Linked DNA regions of Oryzias latipes. Each later gene encodes a partner of the first gene's protein in a complex. Links are inferred from orthologs where the notes say so. Each region holds a gene or a part of one and is shown in the gene's direction. Other genes may lie near its edges.

The links.
Region 2: the proteins of pigs (region 1) and pigu are in contact, whole or in part, in a cryo-EM structure (PDB 8IMX), measured with the Homo sapiens proteins. The link is inferred for Oryzias latipes from reciprocal best matches to the Homo sapiens genes PIGS and PIGU. Residues at the interface, in NP_149975.1 of Homo sapiens: Ala4, Gly5, Ala8, Thr9, Glu12, Arg15, Arg18, Ala19, Phe22, Phe23, Val26, Leu30, Leu34, Trp35, Thr38, Thr39, Leu510, Leu511, Phe513, Ile521, Tyr522, Leu525, Phe526; in NP_536724.1 of Homo sapiens: Gln118, Phe282, Glu283, His284, Phe285, Leu287, Phe288, Phe289, Cys291, Val292, Phe293, Ile295, Phe299, Tyr300, Ile302, Pro303, Ile306, Lys307, Lys309, Glu310, Thr417, His418.

The regions. Positions count from the first base shown.
Region 1 is NC_019872.2:12,613,455-12,617,604, reverse strand, and holds the start of pigs (GPI transamidase component PIG-S), read left to right. Parts: upstream 1-1,343; 5' UTR 1,344-1,456; coding exon 1,457-1,475; intron 1,476-2,031; coding exon 2,032-2,171; intron 2,172-2,265; coding exon 2,266-2,377; intron 2,378-2,454; coding exon 2,455-2,544; intron 2,545-2,626; coding exon 2,627-2,718; intron 2,719-2,830; coding exon 2,831-3,071; intron 3,072-3,154; coding exon 3,155-3,297; intron 3,298-3,386; coding exon 3,387-3,501; intron 3,502-3,593; coding exon 3,594-3,739; intron 3,740-4,150. UniProt on the Homo sapiens protein: Component of the glycosylphosphatidylinositol-anchor (GPI-anchor) transamidase (GPI-T) complex that catalyzes the formation of the linkage between a proprotein and a GPI-anchor and participates in GPI anchored protein biosynthesis.
Region 2 is NC_019863.2:32,751,675-32,754,858, reverse strand, and holds the end of pigu (phosphatidylinositol glycan anchor biosynthesis class U protein), read left to right. Parts: coding exon 1-59; intron 60-129; coding exon 130-272; intron 273-1,421; coding exon 1,422-1,535; 3' UTR 1,536-2,668; downstream 2,669-3,184. UniProt on the Homo sapiens protein: Component of the glycosylphosphatidylinositol-anchor (GPI-anchor) transamidase (GPI-T) complex that catalyzes the formation of the linkage between a proprotein and a GPI-anchor and participates in GPI anchored protein biosynthesis.

The DNA.
Region 1 (4,150 bases):
CGGAAGCCAGAGGCTCCAGAATGTGATGAAGATCATCGGTCAGTATTGGTTTCTTGCCGCTTTGAAAATGCGCCTGCCTCCATGTCAGGTGCCTTCTCCCTGCGAGCCCCCGAGCAGGCTAAAATCTGCATGAGTGTTAGTGTTGCGCTTCCCGTTTGAAACCGTATAGGCTCATACCAACATCCACATTGACAGTGGGACCAACTAATACGTAGGCATCAGTTAAAGCACAGTATGGCGACGAGAACGGTGAAAGATCTGAACTGGGTTATCCTTCTGATAGACGGTCCCAGCAGAGATCACACGGTACTGTAAAAACCCGCTCCACACCGGCTTTCACCCCACTCTTTTCTTGTGTTCCTTCTGGACCTTAATACATGAACTAAAACCATCATTTGTGTCTTTTCTGTATAACATTAGCTCTCAGAGTCACGCAGTAATTGATGTGTTTTGTTATGTGAAGGTGTCAATATTGTGTGATGCATGTGTCACCTCTGCCCCCTGTCCTGCTTTTCCCTGCTGGCCCCTTAGGAAGATCAGAGGAAGTCTATTGAAATGTATGTTAAAAATAAATGAATAAAAGGACCAACATGTGGGACCAGCAGCACAGAAACATTCACTGCTTTGTTGAAATACTGTTTGTGATGTTAATATTGTTCTTGAAACACGCTGTGTCATGTAGTGGAGATAATAAACTAAAATACACATTAAACCTGATGGAGACTCCATTTTTGTGTTCGATCCCCTCTGGTTTGACTGTGGCCTCTTTTGCCTTATTTTTATTTTTTTGGAGCAAGTAAATGTTTTTAAAGTTCATGTTTTTTTACTTTTATTACCTTCAGTATTTAAATTAATATGCTCTTGTACATTTATAAACCCCTGTCTGGGTTATTCTGTTGGTACAATATTTTGTCACATTACTAGCTGCCTTGTCATTTAGAAAAATCATCCATAAGATTATAATGGACGAAAATTCAGTTTCAGTCAGAAAGAGTTTAAGTGAAATTTAAATAAATTTATGTAAGATTTAAAATGACTTGTTCTTGCCGTGTCATTCATAGCAGCATAAATTACACTTAATATACTTCTACTAGAAACAGAATCCCGCAAGAATATATTTGTTCAAAAGAGGAAGAAATCTCTGGGATCAATTGGATAGGTCAGCCTATCACCACAGGAGGCGCTGTTGAGAAACTGTTTTTTTTAAGTACGTTAAAAAATAACACCCGGGGAGCCGGCGGTGACAGTCATTTTATCTGAAATTGAATTTTACCAGGGTTTTCATTAGACCATTATAACAATGGCGTATTAGAACATTGTGTTACTCTTAAAGAAACTGTAGCTACATATCAGTAATATCTAGACTTTTGCTTTATACGCATTTTGTTTCAGCTGTCACGTGACACACGTGGCTACGTCTGTCGTGTCAACGAGCGCACTACTTTCATTGACAGAAATGGCCACCACGGAAGTGGGTGAGTGAATTCATTGCTCGGTTTCTTTCTATGAGTTTTTAATGTGAACGTTTGTGGAATTAAATGTACTATGTTGTAAATGTTCATGTTGAGACAATAATAGATGATGTAGTTGTTGGTCATTTTTGTCTTGTTATGACGCTCTGATGCTAACAGCTAATTAGCTACATACTGCCTGCTCAAGACAAGTGCAACCAAACAGTTTTATTCTTATATCTTTGTCTTCTAACATTTTAAATCATCTGAAATGTCAACAATGACTTTAATATCTCCCCGGATATAGGTATCAGGATTATTTGGCCGTTTAATTTAACCATTAAAAACAGTTACATATTTGATTGATTTATTTAGAATTTGGAAGAAAGTTTCATAAATTTTTATTTTATTTGAACTTAACTGTCCTTCTATTTAGATGCAAAATGACGAACAATAGCAGTTTTTTAAGCAAGCTGTTTAGTGAAATATAAATCAAATATAAGTTGTTTTTTGTAACCAAAGACATTTGTCTTATGTTGAACAATTAGCAACAACAATGTACTTCTGGCATTTCTCTCAGAGCGCAGACGAGGTCAGCTTGCTGCCCTGTCTATCGCCGCCGTGGTCATCGTCGTTGGGGTCCCCTTGTGGTGGCGAACGACTGAAACCTACCGCGCCTGGTTACCTTTCAGCCAGATAAAAGACCTCTCTAAACTGCAGGTCTGTCTCTGTTCCGGGATATCACCAAACTCCCCGGTTAACGTATCTTCCTTTTGCGTTTGTGTGTTGGAATAGTCTTTATCTCTCCTTGCAGCTGCATTTAAGTGCTGATGTTGAAGTTGTGTTTGCACGGGGCACCCTGACACCTGAGCAGCAGAAGAGGCTCCCCCTGACCCAGACGCAGGATGAGGAGCATGCAGTGGATGGTGACGCACTTTAGAATCCTGGATTTTGAGGTCATGCAGTCCATACCAGCATGAATAACGGTTTCTCCCATTTCTAGAGAACACAGTTTTGAGGTATACTCATGAAATAAAGTACCAAACAGCTACAATTATGGAAGAGGAGGCTCTGGGCAAGCCCACCGCTGCAGGTGAACTACCTACCAAATAGTGTGTTGTGTCAGTGAAACCTCATGTATAGTTACTTCTGTCTGTATCTGTGTCCTTTTCCAGAGGCGGATCTATCTCTGCACATGCTCAGTGAAAGTCCGTGTGGTTCTTCAGTGGTGTATGTGATTCCTGAGGTCTCCTCGCTGCTACCAGAGGTAAAAGCTGTTCATACTTCTATTGTAATAGTGATTTTTTTTTTTTAAACTCATAGCTTTCAGTCATTTTAGTCTCTTGATTGTAAAGAAAACTTTTTAAAATCCTCTTTAGAATGTCAAAGTGTATATTGGTCAACGCCGGACGGCCATCCTACGCATCAATGCTGAGATGAGAGCAGGAAAGACGGTAGAGCAGCTACTGGATGTCCTGAAGCCTCAAATCAAGCAGGTGCTTCAGGTGATGTCTTTTAGTCACACGGACATCACAGCTGCCCTCAGTGATCGAGTCCGTTTCAACCCTGGCAGCAAAGAAAGTATGACTCATAGTATGAGAGCCTTTACATTCAGTCCAGGTTGGTTTTTATCTATGGTTTGGTAACATTTCTTTGCAGTCCTTTTTCCGCTTATATTCTGTGCTTGTCCTTACCTTTTTTAGGTTATGAGATAACTTTCAGTCTGTTGAACCCTGACCCAAGGTCACACAGGCTCCATTGGGACATAGAAGGTGCTGTTCAGACTTACATCCAGCCTTTTCTTACCAAACTTTCTCCTTTGGCCAACTTCAGCATAGACTCTCAGGTACGAGAGGCAGCACTGCACACGTTTCAAAGTTCAGAGTCATCATGAAAAGTCACCCTGCAGCTTTGTTCTTCATTTGCTTTTAACAGATGCTACACTACGCCATGCTGGGTGTCAACCCGCGCTATAACAACGACCGCGGCGCCTTCATACTTCACGCCGACAGCCTTGCTCATGTCATCAACCCAGTGGAGGCCAGACTTGGTAAAACTGTTGTTACTTGCAAATACTGGCGATAGAATACAATGGAAAAAAGGGGAGCCGTTTTTTCTTACGTTAGTCTCATTCAACTCCAGGTTCCAATGCTGCCTCCTCCAACCCGGTGCTGAATTTTCTTCTGTATGTGCCAGACGCCCAGCATTCACCACTTTACATTCAGGACCACAAGAAAATGGATGTTCCTTCGAATGCATTTCACTCTCCGCGTTGGGGGGGGATTATGGTAAGAAGACTGATCTTTGGATGATGTTAAAGACTCACTCTGATCATCTTTTGAGATATTTTAAAAGCCTTCCCAGTGGTCTTTTAAATATAATTGAGTGTTTTTAACTCCAAATAAAATAAAATAAAACGATTGTTTTCGAGGACACAAGGAGCTTGTCTCATCATATATTTTACGTCAAAAAAGGCTCTTTTTTTTTTTTGCCTGCTACTAATTTACAACGATTTGAATGAAGAAATGCAATTCTAAGCTTAAATTTCTCTAAAGTGGGTCTTTAACAGGATGGTACATTTTTTTTCTTACTTTACTTTGTGTTATATAATTTATGCAGCCAAAATGTTCTCTTGTGGAGTAAAATTGGAACAATATACCGGTATATATATATTTTTAAGTATATGTGGGTATAAACTA
Region 2 (3,184 bases), on another chromosome or scaffold:
CGTGGGGGACGTCGCCCTCTACATGGCCTTCCTCCCGCTCTGGAGTCACCTGCACCGCTGTGAGTGTGTGCTCCAGGTTCTGGCGTTCTCTGGCGGCGCCGAGGTTTCTCAAAGGTTTCTGTTCTCCAGTCCTGAGGAACATCTTCCTGGTGTCCTGCGTCCTGCTGGCCTGCTCGGCGCTGTTCCCGGTCCTCTGGCACCTCTGGATCTACGCCGGCAGCGCCAACTCCAACTTCTACTACGCCATAACGCTGCTGTTCAACGTGGCGCAGGTAAGGAGCGGCCTGAGGGGGGCGCTGTCAGGTTCAGCTGAGAAAGGGGCCAGCAGATTCTATATTCATGAGGACGTGAGAATATTTTAAAGGGCCTATATTATACTTTTCGCAAGCTTTTCATAGTAAACTATATTCATTCATCTATAATATGTTCCCGCTAAATAACAAACTTTTTATTAAATATTAATTTTTCCTACCCAGAAGTAAGACGACTGGATCTTTGGGGCTCCGCCTTTCTCTCTTTGTGGGTTCCGCCCATTTCATGACATCATCCTAGAGCCGGCCTCTGCAGCGTGTCTGCGATTTTCCCACGAAAACAAACACCGCCGTACAAAGACGGATGTGTGTATTGTGCCTAGAGAAGGAAAGCGTTTAGCCGATCACCGCTAGCTCCACAGAGAAAGTGTCCAAATTCCCGCCCTAACTACTAAAAAACGAGGAGGTGCCCTGAATTTTGAAAACAATTCAGACGCCACACTCACTCCTTTTTTTTTTTTTTAACGGCAGATGTGACGTCATTGATTTCACAAAGTTAAAATCTAATTAATGAGCGTTCTGGGAGGATTATTTATGATCCACTGTCTTCTGAAGATAAAAACGTTGATGGTTTATTAAAAAAATAAATTTTTTTTGCAAAAGTTGTTCCAATGCAATGCATTGTGGTCTATATTCACCGATCTAGTGGTTTTTCGCAGAGACTTCTGGGAAATTTCTAGGGCTCTGGATTTTGGAATTGTAGATTCAGACACTATAGAATGATAAACGCACTATAGATGCTCTATGTAGAGGTCAGGGTGGGAATTTGAACATGGCCTGGGCGTGTGTGTTAGCCTGGGGGCGGAGCCTGCAGCACAGACTCTTCCTGGAAGGGGCGGTTCCTCACTTTGTGACATCACAATGTGAGAACCAGCTCGTCGTGGATTGGGAGGGGCAGGTCCTCAGAAAGCAGTTTTATAGAGGAATTACAGCTTTGGGGATGTTTATGGTGAGGAATGAACATTAGAAGACACTTAAAAGCTCCAAAAGTGGATTTAGCATGAAAAGGTTTATAGATGGATGAAGTTTTCTCTTAGATCTGCAGATGCAGCAAACAGACTTCTGAGGAAACCAAAACACTTTCACACTTCGTTCTTCTTTCTTTCTTAGATCCTGCTGGTGTCGGATTATTTCTACGCCTTCCTGCGGAGGGAACACCACCTCACCTATGGGCTGTACCTGAAGAAGAAGGACGGCTCGGAAGCAACGCTGGTCCTGAAGTAAACCCCCCCCTGAGCGTCTGCAGGGACAGACGGTGGAGCTCCTCTTCACGCTCGAGGAGGAGACGGCGTCCGAAGCCGCACCGCTCCTCCGACGGACCGAAGCCGCCCGTGCAGAGGCGGCGGTGCAGCTTGATGCAGCTGAGCTGCTGCGGCTGCAGGACCTGAGACACGTGCTCCATGCAGACCTGCGGGTCCTTCTGTTCTGGAGTGCTCTTATTTTGAAGCTTCTTTCCAGTGGAACAAGCAAAGCTTTTATTTTACAGACTATTTAACCCGCTCTGTTGGACTTTATTTTGACTTTTTTTTTAAACACTCCTCTGCAATGAGCTTTTACTTTGAAAGCTTCCTCTTCCTTTGAAGTCAAACAAGTTGGAAAAATAAGTATTTCTGACTAAACCTGTATTGTAACCTATTTTATAAACTGGACGGAAAAATGTGAACGGAAGCTTCATTTACAGACTTCTATAAATCAAACCGTTAGAGTTTTCAACCTTTTCCTCGTTTTGTGTCGATGCTGCCGGGACTCGACTCGTTCATCTGATCAATACTGATTTATGGATCCTCACTGATCAGACGGCAACAGCAGGGCAGCTGGAGAGAATTTCAAATTTAACGTTTAAACTTTTTCATTTCTGCTTGATTGTAGATACAGACGGATTTCTGAGTTTGATCATTTTCCTGGTAAAACAGCAGAATAAAGAGATTTAATCCAAATTTAATCCAGATTATGTTTGAAATCTGTGGTCTTTAACACTGTGGACTACAGCACATGTATGGCAACAAAACAGAGTTATAAAGGCTTTATTTCTGTAAATGTAATCTTTTAAAAAGAAAACTGTGTCTGGAGTTTGACGTTTTTCCTAATGTGAGCAGAATAATATCTGAGTCTGGAGTCATTAGCGTGAAGAAGGTCGTTCTCCGTGTCTGGGTTGTTTTCACATTAACTTCAGGTCTTCCTTTGCTGATCCTCCGAGTCTCCGCAGGTCAGACAACCACAGCTAGAGTCTAGTAATTGAACTACAAACCCAGGAGTTTAGAAAGGCATGTCATTCTTTTATATACTCTGGTACTTTTGGTTTGAACTGATATTTACTTTTTTTATGTTTCATTTGTGAATAAAAGTGTCAAATGTTGGTCATTTAACTTTTCTTAATTTAGTTTGTATACATATTTAAAAAAAAACTGTTTCATCAAAAATATCTGAAGTGCAAGCTGTGGATTTTTAGACATTTGTCCATCTTATCACAAAAACGTCCTTCCTTCATGTCCACAGAATCCAACATGATCAGCTTTTGGAGCAGCAGGAATCTCCTTTGATGGATGTTGGAAGTCAGTTTAAAGATCGCAGACAGAGAAGGACCATCTGGATCTTCTGGTTCTGCTGTAAAGAACTCAACATCATCACAGACCTCTGGAGGCACACGGCCAGGACATTGTTTTCGGGCTCAATCAGACGTTTGTTGTTCACGCATGCGCAGATAAGCAGCTCCTTGCTGGATGCATTTCTATCGGTGGCCTGTAGATGGCAGCATCGTTCTGAACAGAATCCTTTCAGGTGGTTCGGAGAACCACTCTGCTTTGCTCCAGCAGGTAAATCACTTCCATCTCACTTGAGTTGTTTTTGTCTGCGTCTATAGCTACATTAGTCCG